Coturnix japonica: one gene and its partners. The protein of the gene in region 1 purifies or fractionates together with the protein of each later gene. This does not show direct contact. Links are inferred from orthologs where the notes say so. Each region holds a gene or a part of one and is shown in the gene's direction. Other genes may lie near its edges. The genes, in order: SMAD1, SKI and RUNX2.

Region 1 (5,743 bases):
ATTTAGACTTCTAGACTTTTTAGACTTGTTTTTCACTAGAATTTCCATCCACATATTTAAAATATTTTTGTTGTTGTTTCAGATCTAATAGATGTGAAGTAGAAAGTTTGACTTGATTACTTGATAACAGTAGTGTACATTTTGTGTGTGGAACTGGTGTTTTTTGTTTTCAAAAAGTAGAAAAAAGCTATTCAGAACATTGAATGAGATACAGGCTATGTATGAGTTGAGAATAGCTCCAATACTTGTATGCATATTTGAAGTAAGTGTGCTGGGTCTCTGATAATAAAATTGTTGAAATAAAACAGCATTTTAGTACAGCACTTTTGAATGTATGTAAGGATAAAATATACCTGGAGTGCAGTCAGTGACAGTAATGGAGTTTTAGTTCAGTTGCCAGTATGGCTTATGCTCAGGTAAGAAAATCTATTGTTAAATTTGCCCCAGGCTTATGCATTTCTCCCATTGCACTGACATTATTATTTCAAGTAGAAGTCTCAGAATAAATGAATGGAAAGTACCAGGATGAAGCGCAGGTGGATGCAGTCTTTGTCTTAGTTTAAGATCATTATTCACATAAATGTAGTTTATACATTTGACCTAATAAAATGGAACCTTTGCAATTAGATAATTATTTTAGTGACAACTTATTTGAATCAAGTGGATGGTTTTCAGCTTGAAGTACTCTAAGTGTAGAGGTACGCAATGAAATTACAGTTATGACAGTTAGGAGCATAAGTGTGGCTTAGCAATTAAAATTTCAAGATCCATAATTATTTTTGATTATAAACTTGCAATTCAGGCTCATGGCTGCTCTGATACCTTCTAACCTGTCTGTGTATGGGCAGCGTATGGATTTTTTGTGGTGGGTTGTTCTGTGTTTTTTGTTTGTTTGTTTGTTTTGTTTTGTTTTTTGGTGTTTCTGATGGTAACAAAAACATTTCTATCCTTTTCCTCTTCCCTCTTCCTCTGCAACCTCTCGGTATCTGCTCTGGGATACATTTCCTGTCTGTCTTCATACTTAATTTGAATGCTTCTGTTTTAGTGCTCCTTATCTCCTTGTTCCTTGTGGCAGAGGTGAGTCTCTTGTTTGCTCATAACCTGAGTAAACGTGAAGCCCGCTGCTTGCAGAAGACCCTGTAATGGGGATTTCTCTGCATGCAGAGTTCTACTCCTCCCTTCACCCATTGCTTCATTGCTGTTTCACACCTCCCAACCTGAAGATCACAGTACTACCTCAAACCCTCTTATCAGTTCTTCCTCCTTCCTGCTCCTTCATGTGTCTTTGAGCACATCAGGCTGGCACTGTGAAGGGAGGGGTCAGGATGTAGTCAGTGATGTCTTTCCCTTTCATTCTGTTTAGGTGAGGGCTTTTTAGTGGGTTAGGAAGACAGAGCTTTGCTTTCTCGTGGGGAGCTGAATGAGGGCACAGATCTTTCTAGTTTCCTGTTCTGCTTTTGGTTTGTCACTCAGACTAACTCAGGTGAAGCTGAACAGTTTGTCACAGATTGTGATATGCGCAGATCCCATGCAGTTATTCTCAAATCGTATTGCTTGTAGAGATCTGGGTAGTGCAGTGCTGTTGAGGTATGTTGCTTCCACCTTCACTTGGAAATCAAAACCAAAAGTTTTGGTTTGATTTCATCCTGTATGAGTTTATTGGGACGTTTTGCTGTGTGAAGTTGCCAAGCTGATAGGCTGTGGGGAGTGTACTTTTCACTTAGCGGTGAAAGATAAAAAATGGGGGGCTGTTTTAGGCTACACTTGGGCTGTGAGCAGGAACATTATTTGAAGTTGGCAAATGCAGTTGCCCTTGCTACATGGCACAAAAATCACTGAGGCTATATCGCGTATTGGATGCGGGCGGGAACTGAGCAGAGGGATAGTTGTCCTACCTTCTAAGTTTCCCTACCTTTGCACTTCCTTCCTGCTTCTCTCTAACTCCCTTCAACCATTTTGTTCTGTTTTGTTTATGCAGTGCCACTGTTTTTCAGGGCAATCCCCTCATTTATTTAGGACTGTTTTGGTAGCAAGAGTATAAAGACTTTACCAGCATGCTCTGCTATTTAAAGGTCCTTGTCAGGCTGTTCCTTCAGTCTGATGTTGAGACTGCTGACACTTTGTGGTGGCGGTTTTTTTGTTGTTGTTGATCGGTTGGGTTTTGGTCACCCTGGCCCTGTGGGGTGGAATGTTTCTGACTGCTGGTGGTTAATTGACAAAGTGAAATCTGTTTTCCTTTTTCGCTCTTCTCCTGCAGGTTCTCAGCCGGAAGGCTTTAGCAAGATGAGAAGGCCACATCTGTCAAGGGGAACTGTCAGCATGGCCGTCCTGGGACGGGAGGACTGAAATAGCAGAAGCACCACAATATTTGGGCAGACTGCTTTTGACTACTGATTAAAATCTGCAGTGCGGCTGCGGTGGAAGAACAGGACAGTCTCTCCTGCTTGGTCTGTGGTATCCAGTGTGACCAAGTGAGGTCACCATGAACGTGACAAGTTTGTTTTCCTTCACCAGCCCGGCAGTGAAGAGGCTGTTGGGGTGGAAGCAGGGGGATGAAGAAGAAAAATGGGCGGAGAAGGCTGTTGATGCACTAGTGAAAAAACTGAAGAAGAAAAAAGGTGCTATGGAAGAACTGGAGAAAGCATTAAGCTGTCCTGGTCAGCCCAGCAACTGTGTCACAATTCCTCGGTCCTTGGATGGCCGGCTTCAGGTTTCACACCGGAAAGGGCTGCCACATGTAATTTACTGCAGAGTGTGGCGCTGGCCAGACCTGCAAAGCCATCATGAACTGAAACCACTGGAATGCTGCGAGTTTCCTTTTGGTTCTAAACAGAAGGAGGTCTGCATCAATCCTTACCACTACAAGCGGGTAGAAAGTCCTGGTAGGTTCTTCCTTGTTTGTACCTTTGCGCCTTATCTAAACAATGCAAAGTGTGGCAGTTAATCATGTGACTCATCAGCTTAAGTAAGCAGTAGTCGCTGTTTGCACACGTCAGATTTGTACTTTGCAATCTGTCTGGATATAAGCATTGATTCGCAGTTCTCCCTTTCACAGGGTGAATACTTGCCATATATAAATGCATTTTGTCACTGTGCAGCAGCATACTGTCTGTGTGTGCCTTAAGTTGCTGGATCTCTTGCCTCCTGGTTTTGTTGGTGGCCACTATCCCTCAGTTCATTTTATTTTTTTATATTTTTACTGAACAGCGCAGTTTGAGCATGTATGAAATGTTGCAAGCTAACAGGAAGGGTAACTGCGTTTAGTGGGTGAAAAACTTTCTGATATGATCTTACTGTTATTATTTCACTTCTATCACTTCTTTTCCTTCACCCTTCAGAAGATACTACGGTCTTTAAGGTTGCCTTCAGCTTTGGCCTTTGAAGTCTGAGGTTTTGGTTGCTTTTTATTTTTTTTTTTCAGACACGGAATATACCCTCTCAACCTGGAGCTTTGATAGTGGGGTTTATTTTGTACATGATGTTTTACCTTTAGTTGTTCTGCAAGTGGAATGTGTTTACCCATTACCCACTTCCACGCTTTAACAAGTGCAGCCTGTTCTCTGTCTCCTCTTCAAGGGCCCAACCCGCTTTTAGTAAATCTGTGCTTGATTTGCTTGTGTGAGTTTGTTTTCAGAATATTTCCAGGGACTAAGATGAAATGTGCGTAAACATGTCTCCACTGGTCTCTAGTTACTTGTGAGGTTGTACAGGGACATCTGCAGAAAATGCACTGCAGGTGTGAGAGGGCTTTTCTGGTTTAAATTTAGGAAATCTGCCTGTGTTAGGCACTTTGTAAACTGCGGAGCTGTTTCTGCAGAGTGGCATGGATTGCTTAAGAACTGCAGTGGAAATGACGTTGTTACCTGATTATTTTCCTGTGAATGGAAATAGCATTTATCTTGGAATTGCAACACGTAGCGTATATCTAGATGGCAAATATTTCCCTTTGGTGTGTTAGTATTAGTTTGGAAATCGTGTGTGTGATATCCATAAAATATGGCTTTTATGCAGCAGATGCTTAAACAAAAAGCTTAAACACTGCACTGGAGGAAGAAAAAAAGAGGAGTTTTAACAAATGTTAAGGGTTGTGTGTTGAGCAGAAGTGGGACAATAAAATAAATAGTTTGTATTACTAGTTTTCTGCATGTGTCTGCACCTGGTGTGTATGTTCAGTGTTCCAAAGTACTGAAAACTAAGATTCCCAAAGCACATCTAGTTCGGTCAGAGTGAGCAGCAGTTGGGCTCTTGCTGTCATGGTAACACCAAGTGATGTGTTACAGCTCATTTCCCTTTCGTCTTGGAAGCAGTTACCAAGTCTGAGAACATTCTAATTCTTATCATTTATGCCATATTTAAGACTATATTTGTAAGTGTCCTGTCACTTCACTGAGATCTGCATGGTAAAAATAGAATAGAACTTTCAAAAGATGTCTAACTAAAATGTGCTGAGTACTGTTAGGTAGCCCAAGTGGTTGGAAAGTGGTTTTGGGCCCTGAGTCACCTTCTACATTTTGTAGTTGGGAACCAGCAAAATGTTATTTTTTGAATTTGGGATTCCTGCTGTTTTAGGGTAAAATACAAATTTCCAGAGTTTGTGTAGTTTGTGCTGGGGAGAAAACAAAGAGTGACTTAATCAGTTTGGAGATGGTAGCAATGAAATATTTCCCGCTGCTCAGCCAGTGCCCCTCAGGAAAAACTAAGTACTTCTGGTTATCACCTTAGTAAGCAACTGGGCAGTTTGCTTGTTTACATCAGGGCTGGAATGGCCTTGACAGAGCTGATGAAAGGATTTCATCCACCGGAAGATCGATGTGCTGCTCTGACCAGCTGAAATTTACTGGAGGGGAGTGTTGAGCAGGAGCTGCCTTCTGCCTAATGAGTCGTGGGGCTGCAGGTATAAAGTTGTGTGTATGTTGGGGTCTCATCTTAAGAACTTTTCCAAAGTTCCACAATGCCAGAGTGGGGTCAAAGCCTTAAGTTTTTACTGAGGTCTCTGGCTGGGTTTGTGAAGGAGGTTTTTCTACTTAATTAACGCTGTAGATCAATCATTGTTTTGAGGGATATTGCATGGAGATAAATTTGGAATACGTGGCTTTTGGGAGCAGGTGGTAACTGAGCTGCCATTTGGCCTAGAGATGTGCACTTCATAAGTTACAGTATCTCTTCCTTTCCCTTCCCTGTTGTTTGTCCCCAGAGTGTCACTCTCAGCTTCAGTTCCTGACAGTCGCTCTCAAACTTGGCTAACTGTTTTTCCCCATTTTTGCCTGGACATTAAAACACCATTATTGCTTCCTAAGTGCTTATGCTTTGAGATTAATGGATTGGGGGAATTCACACATGAGTCACTGTTTCCAAGCAGATATCGAGACTTGTGTTTCCAAGGTTATCACAGCCAGGAGGATTGGAATTATACTTGACTAAATGAAGCTAGAAGCTCGAGAGAGTGTGTGATGGTCACTGTGCAGGCTGTACAAGTATATTGTGATATCCTGGCTCTGCCTGCCAGCTTGGTCAGTGCTTAACTGCCTCAAACAGACCCAGCTCCTCAGGAGCTGCTCTGTAGGGCGCTGCCTGGGATGGGATCAGTGTGCTCTGTTCACTTTCCTGTTAGTTGTCACGTGGCTGGTGTTTGTGTAAGTTCTGAAGAGTGGATTAACGGTAAATCCTCAAATAGATAACATCATGTAGTGCTTTCAGTTGGGAAATTGGTCTCACAAATGCTTTTATGTTTTCACGGTGCTAG
Region 2 (6,540 bases), on another chromosome or scaffold:
GAGTAGAGTCTTTGTCTAGAGGTTGCCCCTTCTGGAGACTCTGCTGACCTTCACAAAAGGTAAGTCACTTGTTTGTGCATTATTTAAACCATGTTCTGATGAATACCTTAATGAATGTGTTTGTATCTTGGTAGAAAGTAATGTCATTGTCTTCCCTTGCAATATATGTTATAAATAAGCCATCAGAACGTTAGTCAAATTGAGAGGATTTTGTTGTGCAGCAATCCAAGGTTTACCTAGAAAATGGTGGGACCCAGCTGCACAGGAATGGTCTTACTTCAGTAGCTGTGTGTCGTAGTTAGAAATAAGTATGTACCATCCAAACATGGGGAGATGTTATAACAGATACTTGCTGTTATGAGTTTACCATCTAATGTAAGACTGTAGGAATTTCGGTGCGTCACATTTGCATGGATGCTTTCATTTTTTACTTTCTTTTCTTCTTTCCAATTGACTCTTCCCAAACATTTTGTCAACAGTTGCAATTTGCAATGTGGTTCTCTATATTCCTTGGGTTTTCCTGACTGAGCTTTTCACGTGAGCGTGTAAAAAATACACATAACCGTGCTGCAGTGTACTCTGACAACACGTAGAGGGTGGGACAAGATACTTGTGAGAGGCACTGAGTTCTTCAAAATGAAGGCAATGAGGAGGTGTGGGGGGAAATGAACTGCCTGTTAAATATGGAAAATGGAATCTGCTTTTTGTTCTGGGCCTTTGGAATCTGTGGGTGGATTGGAACTGGCAGGCAGGGAGCAAACACCCACCCACCACAGGGCTGTGTGGTTCAGAAGTTTACAAGAGTGTTTGTGTTCCAGGAGCTGTTGGCCTTGAAGCCAATGGAGAGGGGGAGGAGAAGAGGGAGAGAGTGAGAAAAACAGTGTGGTGCTGGGGCCCTTCCTCCGAGATATTTTTTCCCTTCTCCTTTCTTCAGCTAGAGGGCTTTGGAACTGAAGCAAGACAAACAGTTACTGGGGAAGAGATTAATAGGATCTTAAGATGCTCAGCATTCACAGTCCATCATTGGGGTGGCAGAGGCTTCAGAAAGTGTTGCCACCTTAATCCCTGGTGCTCCTTGCTCCCCCTTCTGCCCCGCTGTTGTGTAGTTCTGTGCAGTCTGTAGGTACAGGGAAATACAAGCTGGGTTGCAAACTGGTTTCTGTCACATCATGAAGTTCATTTCAGAAGCTGCTCTTCTAATCAGTTCCTATCTGAGTACAGCAGACATAGAAACTGAGGCACGCAGGAACTGAACGACTTGCCCAAGGCTACAGGAAATCTGTGGGAGATCTGGGAATGGACCCCAGATGTCCTGAGTTTAGTCTTAACCACCAGACCATCCTTCCTGTCTTTTTGGTAGTCCCCTCTGCTTCAGGAATTCCATTGATGGATCACACTCATGAGTTAATCACTCATCTGTTGCCCAATCCAGTAATTTACTTACATTAAAGAGTCATTTGGAAGGAAAAAAACACAACAACCAAACACCTAAAACGAGCTGTGGTTATTGCTGTCCTTTATTCCCAAAGAGTAAAGGAAAAGGAGTGCAAAAAAAACCCAGCATCCAGAACTAAGAGGCTTTTCCATTACTAAGCAGACTTCCAGCAAACGACAATTTTGCTCTTAACAAAATTGGATTATCTATACTTGATGTTTGAGTCTGTCTGCGTGTTTATATTTCAGAGAGTTTAAAACATCAAAAAAAAAAAGCATGAAGCAGAATTAAATCCATCTAAGGCAGGAATCTGGTGCTGTAGTGAACTCTTCTTTTGCTGGCAGCCTGTTTGGATGCCACATCCCTAATGGGCTCAGGGGGATCTGCTGTTGTGTGCAAACAGCAGCATGGAGTTCTCTGGACTTGGGGTGTGAGGACACAGCTGGTGCATGAGTGGTGCCTCCAAGTGCTGCTCTGTGCTGAGCTGTGAGGCCTTTTTCCCTTTGACTGCTCGAACTTCAGAGCACAGAAACACAAACAGCGTCTGAACTCGGTGCGATCCCTGCCCGCATCGATCCTGGCTGAACCTCAGCCTGTTTGGTTTGGTGAGGGTTTGTTTGCTCTTGGAGCTGTTTGGATTTGCTTCACTTTTTTATTGTACTGTGGTTTATCTTCGTTTATACCATAGTGGTGAACTTCCAGAAGAGACCAAATGTCTCTGCATCACAAGGCACTATGAGCAGCGCATCAAGTCTCTCTTGCATCATTAATATCTTAGTTGTGTGTATGCAGAGCTTTCCAGCGTCTTCTTTTTGCGTTAGACTCGCTGATAAAGCTCTGAGCTGTGGGGCTCGTGTTTTGTATCTGTATTTTCCGAACTCTCCAGCCGTTCCGAAGGGCAGACAGGCGGGTGGGGAGCTGCCACCAGGGGGTGCCGTTCCCTGCACGGAGCCGCAGGTTCGGCCCGTCCACGTTCCTCCGGGCGCCGCCATTTGATGCAGCGGCTGCATCACCCGGAGCTGCATCACCCGCAGCTCCGCTTGCTCGGGGTCCCGGCTGTCGGTCCCCGTTGGGCTGCAGTTATTCCGTGTGTGCTCCACACCAGGTGCTCGCAGGTTTAGCAGCGGTTCGGTTCAGGTGTTGGGTACACGAGGTGCTGTTTGTTCCCTTATTTCTTTCACTGTCGTCCAGAAATAAAACGCCGAGCCCCCACCAGCCCTGCCGCCCCTCCTTCGCGACGCTCCGCTCTATGAACCCAGCCTCTCTCCCTCCCCCCGGGGCTGAACGAGCTGCGCCTGCCCGAGCAGGAGGGGGGAGGCGGCCGATGTTCCTGGAAGAGCCCGGCCTGGGGAGTTGGTCACATTCTTGGCCGGGATTCAATGACTGAGGCAGACACCAACAAACAGAGTCGGGGGGGAGGAGGAGGAGGAGTGAGGGAGGCTGAGCCAGCCCGCATTAGCTCAGCTCTCAGGCACTCTCAGTCTCTGCTGGAAAGAGGAGCTGGGAGGATGTTAGCGCGGCTCCCCACGGCACGTTGAGAGCGAGAGGAAGAAAAGAAAGGAAGAAAGAAAAGGGGAGCGAGGCGTCGGGGAGCCGGATCGAGCGAACGGAGCGCTCGGGGCAGGCAGCCCGCAGCGCCGCTTCGGAAGTGTCGGAGATCGGGGCCTTTAATTCTATTCCGCCTCGCTCCCTTCCCCGCACCGAGCCGCCTTCCTCCTCCTGCTTTTTACTTTCCTTCCTCCTGGTGGATATGGACACAAGCGGGATCGCTGCAGAGAAGCAGCAGCCAACAGCTCTTATTTAACCCGAGGTGCCCGGAGCGCGGCTCGGAGCGGCGTTCCGGGGCTGGCAGTGCTCGGATGAAGACCTGGCTTCGGTTTGACTCTGCGCTCCGGCCGGGCCGGGCACGGTGAGAGATTGTGACGGAGCGAGAGAACAGAAAGGAGAAAGAAACGCCAACGAAAAGGATTTATTTCCTCGCCGACTGTGGATTGTTAAACCGGAGTGGGAAGGGGGAAAAAAAACCAACAAGGGTGGGTTGTTGTTTTGTTTAAAGAAAAGAAAAAAATCCCTTAAGTGGATTTGTACCAGCGTGGAAGATAATTGGGGATTTTTTTGTTGTTTGTTTTTGGGAATAGAAACTAAAAAATGGAGACTGTAAGTAGAAGCAGCTTCCAGCCTCATCCAGGACTGCAGAAGACCTTGGAACAGTTTCATCTGAGCTCTATGAGCTCCCTGGGTGGCCCTGCTGCTTTCTCAGCGCGATGGGCACAGGAGATGTACAAGAAAGACAATGGCAAAGACCCCGCGGAACCTGTACTGCATCTGCCCCCCATCCAGCCCCCCCCGGTGATGCCTGGTCCCTTCTTCATGCCCTCGGACAGATCCACTGAGAGGTGCGAGACCATCCTGGAAGGGGAAACCATCTCCTGCTTCGTGGTGGGTGGGGAAAAGCGCCTTTGCTTGCCCCAGATCCTGAACTCGGTGCTCAGGGACTTCTCCCTGCAGCAGATCAACTCGGTGTGCGACGAGCTCCACATTTACTGCTCCAGGTGCACCGCTGACCAGCTGGAGATCCTCAAAGTCATGGGCATCTTGCCCTTCTCTGCCCCCTCGTGCGGGCTGATCACTAAAACTGACGCTGAGAGGCTTTGCAACGCCTTGCTTTATGGTGGCACCTATCCTCCCCACTGCAAGAAGGAATTCTCTAGCACGATTGAGCTGGAGCTTACAGAGAAGAGCTTCAAGGTGTACCATGAGTGCTTTGGGAAGTGTAAGGGACTCCTGGTACCAGAGCTTTACAGTAACCCCAGCGCAGCCTGCATCCAGTGCTTGGACTGCAGGCTCATGTACCCGCCTCACAAATTTGTGGTCCACTCTCACAAATCCCTGGAAAACAGGACTTGCCATTGGGGCTTTGACTCTGCAAACTGGAGGTCCTACATCCTCCTCAGCCAGGATTACACTGGGAAAGAGGAGAAAGCTCGGCTGGGCCAGCTCTTAGATGAAATGAAAGAAAAATTTGACTATAACAACAAATACAAGAGGAAAGCCCCCAGGGTAAGTGATGCCTTAAATTCTTATTTTAAGAAGGAGCCAGGGTGAAGAAAGAGAGAAAAGGGATTTTCGATGACGTCCATAGATGTACTCAATTTGTTACCAACCGTTTTCCTTTTAGAGTCGTTTAGCAATCTAATCGCGTTCTTAATTCTCACCACGTGTGCGTTCATGTAGACGAGCAGCGTTCGACATGGCTCCTTTTTTTTCCCCTTTTTCCTCTGGTTTTGTGCTGAGCTCGGGAGCTGGAGTTTGATTCTGCTGTATGTGTTTGTGTATCGTATTGTACACAGAACCTGATCTTTGAAACCCATCACGCTGCCCCACTTGAGCAGGAAGTGATTTGGGGCGCCGGGAGCTTCGCTTGGAGGTCAAGATGGGAAAGAAAGGAGGGGAAAATAACTCTGATGGCCCCAGACACGAATGCAGACGATTTTCTCCTCAACTGCGTGCCCCCAGGGATGGAGGCAGGGGCTGAGCTGGAATAAAACGTGGCCGCTGAGAATGTAATGCAGGTTACTGGTGTTCATTGGAGTGCAGAACGGGAGCGAGCTCTGTGCTTTTAGGGGATCCCAGCGGAGTCTGGCTCTCCCCAGCAAGACAGGCTTTTGTATATCGGATTATGTGTACGTAAATGGATCTGAAGGGCCAGATGCAGCAGCTCGTTGCGTTGTGCCCTGCTGTCCTGAGGCCAGACAGCGTTTTTCAGGTGCCCTGTGTTTTCCTTGCAGCCTGGGCTGCCTGCAGACCCCACCATTCCCTCTGTGTGGGCGAAGGGGCCGTGGGTGGGCACCGGGGGGGGAGGGGAAGGGGGGAGGCAGCTTCTGCCCCTTCTCAGCCCCCCCCCACGAGGAAGGTAAAATCAAAGCAGAGCAGCCTGGCCTGCAGGTTTGGGGGCAGATTCTGCCTCCTCCATCACAGTTCTTGGAAGTTTTCTTCGGTTTTATGTCCGCAGTGGAGGGGCAATCACAAAAGAACAGGAACTTTTCAAGCTTTCTGAGAGCGTTAGGTGAAATTCTCGGTTAACTTCCCAAATACCTGTTTAAACGTGCAGATAAACGCTCAGGCTGCATATGGCTTAAGTTAAAAAGCAAAAAGCAAAGCGAGGAGGTGTTCAGCCCCCCCTAGCCCCCATTTCGGTCCTCGTCCTCACCCCCCCCCCCCCTTTCCTCCTGTCGGAGTGTCAGAGCCGCTGTGACAAAGCGGGGTTGTAATGAGCCCCATTATCTCCGTGGCTGGAGGTGGATGTGTTTTTAATGGCTTGTCTATTCTCCGTCAGTCATGTGCTAAGGGGATGCTGGGGAAGATGCGCATGAATGTCTGCGAGAGGAGAAAAGGGCTCCGGCAGCGGAGACGGGCTGAATTTCCTTGGGCGTGCTCTGGGAAACTAAAGAAAAGAATCCCCACTTTCTTCCTTCTGGGAGGGGGTTGTGTGCCTGGGTTGGTCATTTCCACAGTGTGATTTAAATGAACGCTTTTAAAGGTCCGCATTCCTTTTCTTACCGGGCTCTTACGGCGCTGCTCTGCTGTGCCCCCAGGTGAGGGGGCAGGTGGAGAACAAGACAGGACTGCAAAGTTTTGGCTTTGCTTTACTCGTTTGGTGATCCCCAACTATCAGTCCGAGCTCAGAGCATGGCAAACACTCTTTCACCTCACCCTCCAAAATGTGTTTGCAACCACATCTCGGAGAGTGACTTCAGGATACCTGATAATACCTGATAGTACCTGACAGCGGGTGCCAAAAATTAGACGAGAAGATGTTAAAAGTCTGCTGTGTAGGCTCACTTGGGAGTGGGAAGGATGGCGTGGTGTGTGTGTGTGTGTGTGTGCTCAGATGACAGGATAGCACACATCCTGTGCAGGATGCCTTGGAGTTTCCAGGCTTTTAAGTTGTCTTCTCGGCTCCTATTCGTGTGCTGCGGTCTTGGGGAGGCCCTGACATCACTGGTGGAGTTTTGAACGCTTATCCTTCCTTTTTCTGTAGCCTTTTTCCATAGGGCTTAGCCAACGGATATCATATGCTAAGGTCATTTGTGTTGTAGCAGAAC
Region 3 (6,493 bases), on another chromosome or scaffold:
AGCGGCGATGGGTCTTTTTTGCGCGCGCACCGCCCCGCTCTGCACATCCCTGTGCTCGGCCGGGGACGGGGAGCGAACTGGGCTCGAGCTAGTGCGGCGCGTCGCGGTTTTCTTCCAGTATTGACACTGTTTGGGAGGGACCCGGGGTTGGGTGGTTGTTCTATTCATTCCAACCCCCCCTCCCGAAAGACCATCTCCCATAATGGACTTTGAAAAGCTCTGCTGTTTTGGCGCCGGAGTATGTATCTAGTATGACCGGTTCTTTCTTGTGTGCCCACTGGTTAGTCGTGCTGAGACTCCGCGAGTCTTAAAGGTCGATGCATAAGCATTTGGAACTGTGAAAATGCAAAAGCATGGCTGGATAGAGCGAAACGCTATATCTTCCGCCAACCCCACCCCCACCCCTTTATCTTTTTCTCTATAGCTGGTAAACGCAGCGCAGCGGGTTTGTTTTCTCCCTTAAAAAAAATTCAAAATTAAAAAAAATTTAAAAAAAATTAAAAAAAGCTGGCAGATCTTATTTAAAAAAATTTTACATACATTGGTAATGCAAAAGTGTCGCGCCCCCCGAGCACCACAAGCGACCTATGCACCCACGCCGCCATCTTGTTCGGCATCTTACCCCTAGCGTCGCTAAATATGCCTGACCCGCACCGCGGCCCGGGGCTGCAGCGCCAGGTTCCCTGCTCTCTGCTGTGTGGCCTTTCCTACCCCCCCCCTGCCTTGCAGCCTCGCTGGTTTCGCCAGCCCGGTGTGTTTCTCTTGCTGCGGTCGCGTCCGGTTGGCAGGGTGGGTGTTTGGTGGTTGTCCGGTCCGGGGGAAAGAGGGCTGTGTGAAGGGCGGGCGGGCCCGGGAATTGGTGGTGGGCGCGTGGAGCAGGAGGAGGTTGGCCTGCACTGAGATTATATGAGCTACTTTGTGTTAAGATGGGGCTGGCCGGATGAGGTCGGTCTGTGTGCCTGGGGCGGCGACACTTTGTTTACATGGGTATGTAAAATTGTTTTAAATAAGATTTCTGCCCTTTTTGATTTTTAATTTTATTTTTTTTTAAAGGGAGAAAACAAACCCGCCTGCCTTTACCTTAACGGGGGGGGTGGGGGGGGGGGGGGATGCTGCATAGATGTTTTCATTCATTCAAGAAATTAGATCTTTAGTATACCGGAGTTCTTAGCACAACCTTGGCCACCTGACTCTCTCTCTTGAATATATGGCAAAACAGACTTTTTCTTTTCTTTTACAAATCAATCAACCAAACAAACCAACCCCAAAGTGTTAATGGAAAAAACCCGGAGCGGCAAACTTGACGCGCATCGCCCCCCCCCCCCCCCCCCTCTTGACCCCCCCTCCTTTCCTCGGCCCGGCCCCCTCCCCGCGGCTGCGGGCGGCTCCAGGCGAGGGCTCTCCTCCTTGGGGGGGGGGGGTTGGAGCGGGGTGGGTTGTGGGGGGGGATGCACATTGTTGTATTTATTTTGAAGGCTGCAGAAGGCTGAGGAGCGCAGCACCACGTGCTGCTGACTCTCATCAGCATAATGATGGCCCCAGCCGGAGAGCCCCGTATATATAAACCACAAACCCCCTAATCATTAGAAGTCCCAGCCTCCAAAAGAAAAAAAAAAACCGCATTCAGGACAAAAAAAAAGACTGCGGAGTTTTTTTTTTCTTCTTGTTTTTCTTTTTTTTTTCTTTTCCTGCGTGTTGTTTTTTCTCCCCCCTCTCGGCTCCTCCGCCTCCCCGCACGCAGCTCTTCGGCACCCGAAAGAACTTTTGTTGCTTTTCGCCTTTTATTTTTTTAATATATTCTTTATCGTTCTCGACCGACGCGATTTTTCGGAGAGCGGAGCGTAACTCCCGCAAAGCGACACCTGAATGACTGCTGAGACAGTGACTTTTTTTTTGCCTGCTGCTGTTCATCGAGAAAAGGGGGGAAAAAAAAAACCAAACAACCGCCCCCCTAAAAATTAACCCCACCAAACCAAACGAGCGATTCCAGTTACCCGGTTCGGCTCCCCGGACTCGGATCCAGCAGCGACTCAATTAACCGGACCGGACCGCACCGAAGCTGCCTTTCCCCACCGTTTCCTCGGGCATAGTTTCGGAATCAGCCCGCACAGGGCTGCTCCGGGGGGGGGGGGTTCTTCTCTTTTTTGCCCCCTCCCGACGATGCTGCCGTTTGGAAGCCGGGCGCCGGACTCGCCCTGAGCCCCGATCTTCGTCCCGGGCCGCTCCCGGCGCTCAGCCCCGCACCGCTCCTCGCACCGCAGCCCCGGCACGGCGCTAAGGCTTCGCTCCCTTTTTCTTCGCCGTTTGTTTGGCCGGAGGAGGAGGAAGAATTCTTCGGAGGAAACCGGGACGTTTCCCCTTCGCTCATTGCGAGTGACGCTCCTCTTGAAGCGGCGAGCACAGCCGGCTGCCTTCGCCCCCTCTTCAAGCCCGAAAAGCGGACGGGAAGGGAGAGGAAGGAAAAAGGAGAGAAAGTCGCGCGGCGCTGAGAGCAGGAGCGGCGGCTGGAAGCGGGGAAGGACGGACGGACGGACGGAGGAGAAGCGGCTCCGGGCAGGGACGCGCTGCGGGACGGAGCCGCAGCGCCGGGCGTAGCTGAGGGCAGCGCAGCCCCGAGCGAACGAACGACAACAGACTGAGATCTGGGGCTTTTTTTTTAATTCTTTTTGTGCCGTTGTGTTGTTTTTTTTTTCCTTGCTTTTTTCTTTTTTTTTTTTTCCCCCCGATTTTTTTCCCCCCCCCCTCCCCGCCCCCCCGCCCCCCAATTCGCTAACTTGTGGCTGTTGTGATGCGTATCCCCGTAGATCCCAGCACCAGCCGGCGCTTCACCCCCCCCTCCAGCAGCCTGCAGCCCGGCAAGATGAGCGAGGTCAGCCCGGTCGTAGTGGCCCAACAGCAGCAGCAGCAGCAACAGCAACAGCAGCAAGAAGCCGCCGTGCCCCGGCTGCGGCCGCACGATAACCGCACCATGGTGGAGATCATCGCGGACCACCCCGGGGAGCTGGTGCGCACCGACAGCCCCAACTTCCTGTGCTCCGTGCTGCCCTCCCACTGGCGCTGCAACAAGACGCTGCCCGTCGCCTTCAAGGTGAGCGCTTCTCCCCCCCGCGCTGACAGCGGCCGCTCGCCCCCCCTTCCCCATCACCTCCGCCCGCAGGCGTTGCGGTGTTCGCCCCCACCAGCCCGCAATGCCCGCCGTGCCCCCCCCCCCCCGGTAGTGCCTCCCGCGATGACTTCTGAGCCCCTCTCATCCCATCGTTCCTTGTGCCCCCACCCCCCCTCCATTCCTCTGTGCTGCCCCCTCCCCGCCCCAATCCTCTTGATGCCTCCCGCCCCCTCCGCCCGCCTCACTGAGCTCTGAGCCCATACACTGACTTTCTGTGCACCCGCGCACTGACTTCTGTGCCCCCCCCACTTACCCCCCCGCCCTCCGCCAATGATCTCCGTGTTTCCCACCCTCCCCGTGCTGCAGTAACTGTTCGTGTGCCCCCCTCTCGTTTTGCACGGACTTCTGTTGCAGACCTCATCCTGCACTGACTTCTGTGACCCCCAGTCCTACAAAGTTTCCTGTGCACCCCGGGCTTTCTTTGACTTCTGTGTCTCTCCCCCTTTCAGCCCCCTCCCGCCCCCCCATCCTGCACCGTGCATCCCCTCATCCTGCAATGAGTTCTGTGCCCCCTCTGTCCTACACTGACTTCTGTGCCCCCCCATTCCGCAACAGCTCCTATGCGTGTGCCCATTCCTGCCTTGAGTCTTTTGCTTCTCCATCCTACAGCGACTTCTTGTGCCCCTACAGTGCCTCCTGTGCCCCCATCCCGTGCTGCATTGCCTCCTGTGCCCCCCATCTGCACTGATTTCTGTGTCCCTTCTGCACAGTGTGTGTGTCCCAAGGCTCCGTAGGGTCTTCCGTGCCACCCTCGGTGCTCCAGTTCCTCCTGCCCCCCCCCCCCCCGTCCTGGCGTTGCCTCACATACCCCCATCCTTCTGTCTGCCATGCCCCCGCATCCCACTGTGCATCCTGAGCCCTCTCTGCCCTGCAGTGCTCCCTGTTTCCTCTCTGTCCCATAGAACATCCTTACCCCCTCTCTGCAGACCCTCTCATGCCCTCCCATCCTGCAGGGCACGCTGTGCCCCCCCCGTGCTGCAGTGTGTGCTGTGCCACCGAACCCTCCCAACCTCTGGGATCAGTCATGTTATTTCTATTCCCTTAAAGCATTGCCCCCCTCTGGGCTCCCCCCGTCCCTGTGCCACCACCACAGCACCCCACTGAGCCTCTTAGCAGCTTTCCTTTAAAAAAAGAAGTTTTCTTATAACGAGATTCATCCATCTGCAAGAGCTCAGTGCAGGGATGCAGAACGGGTGCTGCCTCCAAACCTTCCCTGAGGGGCACCCCCAAAATCCCAGCCTCGTGTCCCAGCTCCTGGAGCTGGGGAGGGGGCGCACATGGGTTTAGTGCAGGGATTGGGGTCCTGATGGGGGAACCCACTCACTTCTCCTGGCCTCCACGGAGTGGTTGGGGGGGGTGTTAAGATTCTCATTTTCTGCCTCCATCCCCGCGCACGCTGATGAGAGGAAAACGTTTATTAAAAGCTGCAGTAGCAGCCCCGGCTGTGTGCTGTGTTCTGCAGCCCTCCGTCCTCCCCACAGCCCTGCACGGCTGCACTGAGCCCCCCAACCATGTCCTAAGGCCGGCAGCACTTGCCTGCAGTGGCTCACGGGCACAGCCTGGGAGCAGCCCTGCACCCCAGTGCTGCCAGAACGACCCCTTGGGTTGTGTTTTCTGCATGCCAGCCACGCTATCTTTGTTTTGTCGGGGAAATAAAATGGGTCAAAACAGCTGAAAGAGCTGGTTTTGGTGTGTCTGGCCATAAAGGCGGTGTGCTGCTGGCACTTTGCTATCAGAGGGAGTAGAGATGAAGGCAGAGGGGCAGAGACCTGCTGGGTCTGTAGCTGCAGTTACCCTGCATAGGGCCTGCCTTGTGCTTGGGTGGAAATAGCAGAAAGTGGGGTGTGTTCTGCCACTGGGTCTGCGGGTGCTGTGGGGCCTATGGGGTGCCACCAGGTTACAGGGTGCCACTAGGTTATGGGGTGCCTCCAGTCTGTGAGGCTCAGGTCAGAGCTTGGCTCTGATTCCTGGCGTGAGGAGTTGTCTCCCAGGATCGCAGTTGTGATTAATTTGCTTGTAGGTGAGCTCAGTGTTGTAGTTCCTTCCTATAGAAGTAACGTGAGGGCTCTGTGTTATTGCTTCTGTATTTCTGCTTCCGTTTGAAAAGGCTGAGCGTGCCCCTGCCCTGCAGCCACCCAGAGCGTGCGGTCCCAGCTCACTGCAGGGAGGCAGTGGGGCTCAGCTGAGTGGTATTTAGGATGTTATTCCAGTACATGTGATAAAAGGACTTACAAAGAGCGAGAGCAAAGAGCGAGAGCGCATCCCAGCGTGTTTGTGCTCATAGGTTCTGATATTTGGGTGGTGTGTGGGGCTGCAGGCAGGTGTGGATGCGGGAGGTTTATCGATGTGCTGAGTTGTCCCTTCAGCTCTGAGCTGTCACACGCAGCATATAAGATGCTCTTAAAACACGCCGTGTCTGGATGCCCTTGTTTCCTGGTGGAGGCTGACAGGGCCACACTGTGTGCAGCCAAGGCAGAAGGTGTGAGCAAGGAGCAGAAGTACCATACAGCAACAGGCGCTGATAAGACTTTCTGCATAGCAAAATGATGGTTGGGACCCATCGGACAGGTTTTAAACTTGAATCTCATTTATCAGTGCAGCTTTCCTGCAGCTGCCCGCTGCTTTCAGACCGAAGAAGCTGCAGTGAAACACTTGATGCGATACAGCAGAATGGCAATTATCTCTAAAACACTGCAAAAAAGAGACAGATTTGGGCTATAGGAATCTCAGCGAGGCAGAAACTTGAAAGTAAAATGGCTCACAGACAACAGAGTTTTTGAAGTTTTATTGGCAATAAATAATATGTTGATGATAATGTTTTGAGTGGTGCGTTAAGTGTGCCATAATTCTCTCGCAGAGCTCTCCAGTTAAAAAGTGCTCTGGATGTAGCACTGTTTTAATTTAAAAGAGAAAGAAGTTAGATATAAATCACACGCGGGGAAGGAAGTGTGCAATAAACAGCGCTGGGTTTGATTATCATTTTGTGAAATAACGTTGGCTGAGCGTCACGTTTGAATTTTCAGTATTAATATTTACACGCTGCGGGGAGAGAGTCTGCGTGGGGCTCACGGACCAGGTGGTGAGGTTGGCTGTGCAAACTGTGCCTGCTGGTGCTGCTCTGACCACGCTGCAGTGCCCGGGCAGCAGAGCAATGGGCACTGTGCTCCGTGCACCCAATTCTGTTCCCTTTGTGATGTGTAAGAGCCTTTTGTTGGCTGCAGCCATCGGGATTTGGCTCTCTGTTGACTCTGGGAGTTCTATCTGAAAGGCCATGAAGACCCACCCTGCTGGGTGTTGGGGTGGCTGTAAGGTTGCAGTGCCTTATTG

What was found.
Region 2: the proteins of SMAD1 (region 1) and SKI purify together in Homo sapiens (affinity purification with western blotting, with the first as the bait; 3 studies listed by BioGRID). This does not show direct contact. The link is inferred for Coturnix japonica from reciprocal best matches to the Homo sapiens genes SMAD1 and SKI.
Region 3: the proteins of SMAD1 (region 1) and RUNX2 purify together in Homo sapiens (affinity purification with western blotting; 3 studies listed by BioGRID). This does not show direct contact. The link is inferred for Coturnix japonica from reciprocal best matches to the Homo sapiens genes SMAD1 and RUNX2.

What each region holds. Positions count from the first base shown.
Region 1 is NC_029519.1:27,356,820-27,362,562, forward strand, and holds part of SMAD1 (mothers against decapentaplegic homolog 1), read left to right. Parts: intron 1-2,257; 5' UTR 2,258-2,482; coding exon 2,483-2,882; intron 2,883-5,743. UniProt on the Homo sapiens protein: Transcriptional modulator that plays a role in various cellular processes, including embryonic development, cell differentiation, and tissue homeostasis.
Region 2 is NC_029536.1:1,498,696-1,505,235, reverse strand, and holds the start of SKI (ski oncogene), read left to right. Parts: upstream 1-2,406; 5' UTR 2,407-3,468; exon of another isoform or gene 3,469-3,573; 5' UTR 3,574-3,583; coding exon 3,584-4,495; intron 4,496-6,540. UniProt on the Homo sapiens protein: May play a role in terminal differentiation of skeletal muscle cells but not in the determination of cells to the myogenic lineage. Functions as a repressor of TGF-beta signaling.
Region 3 is NC_029518.1:99,720,363-99,726,855, forward strand, and holds the start of RUNX2 (runt-related transcription factor 2), read left to right. Parts: upstream 1-2,757; 5' UTR 2,758-2,788; coding exon 2,789-3,088; intron 3,089-6,493. UniProt on the Homo sapiens protein: Transcription factor involved in osteoblastic differentiation and skeletal morphogenesis. Essential for the maturation of osteoblasts and both intramembranous and endochondral ossification.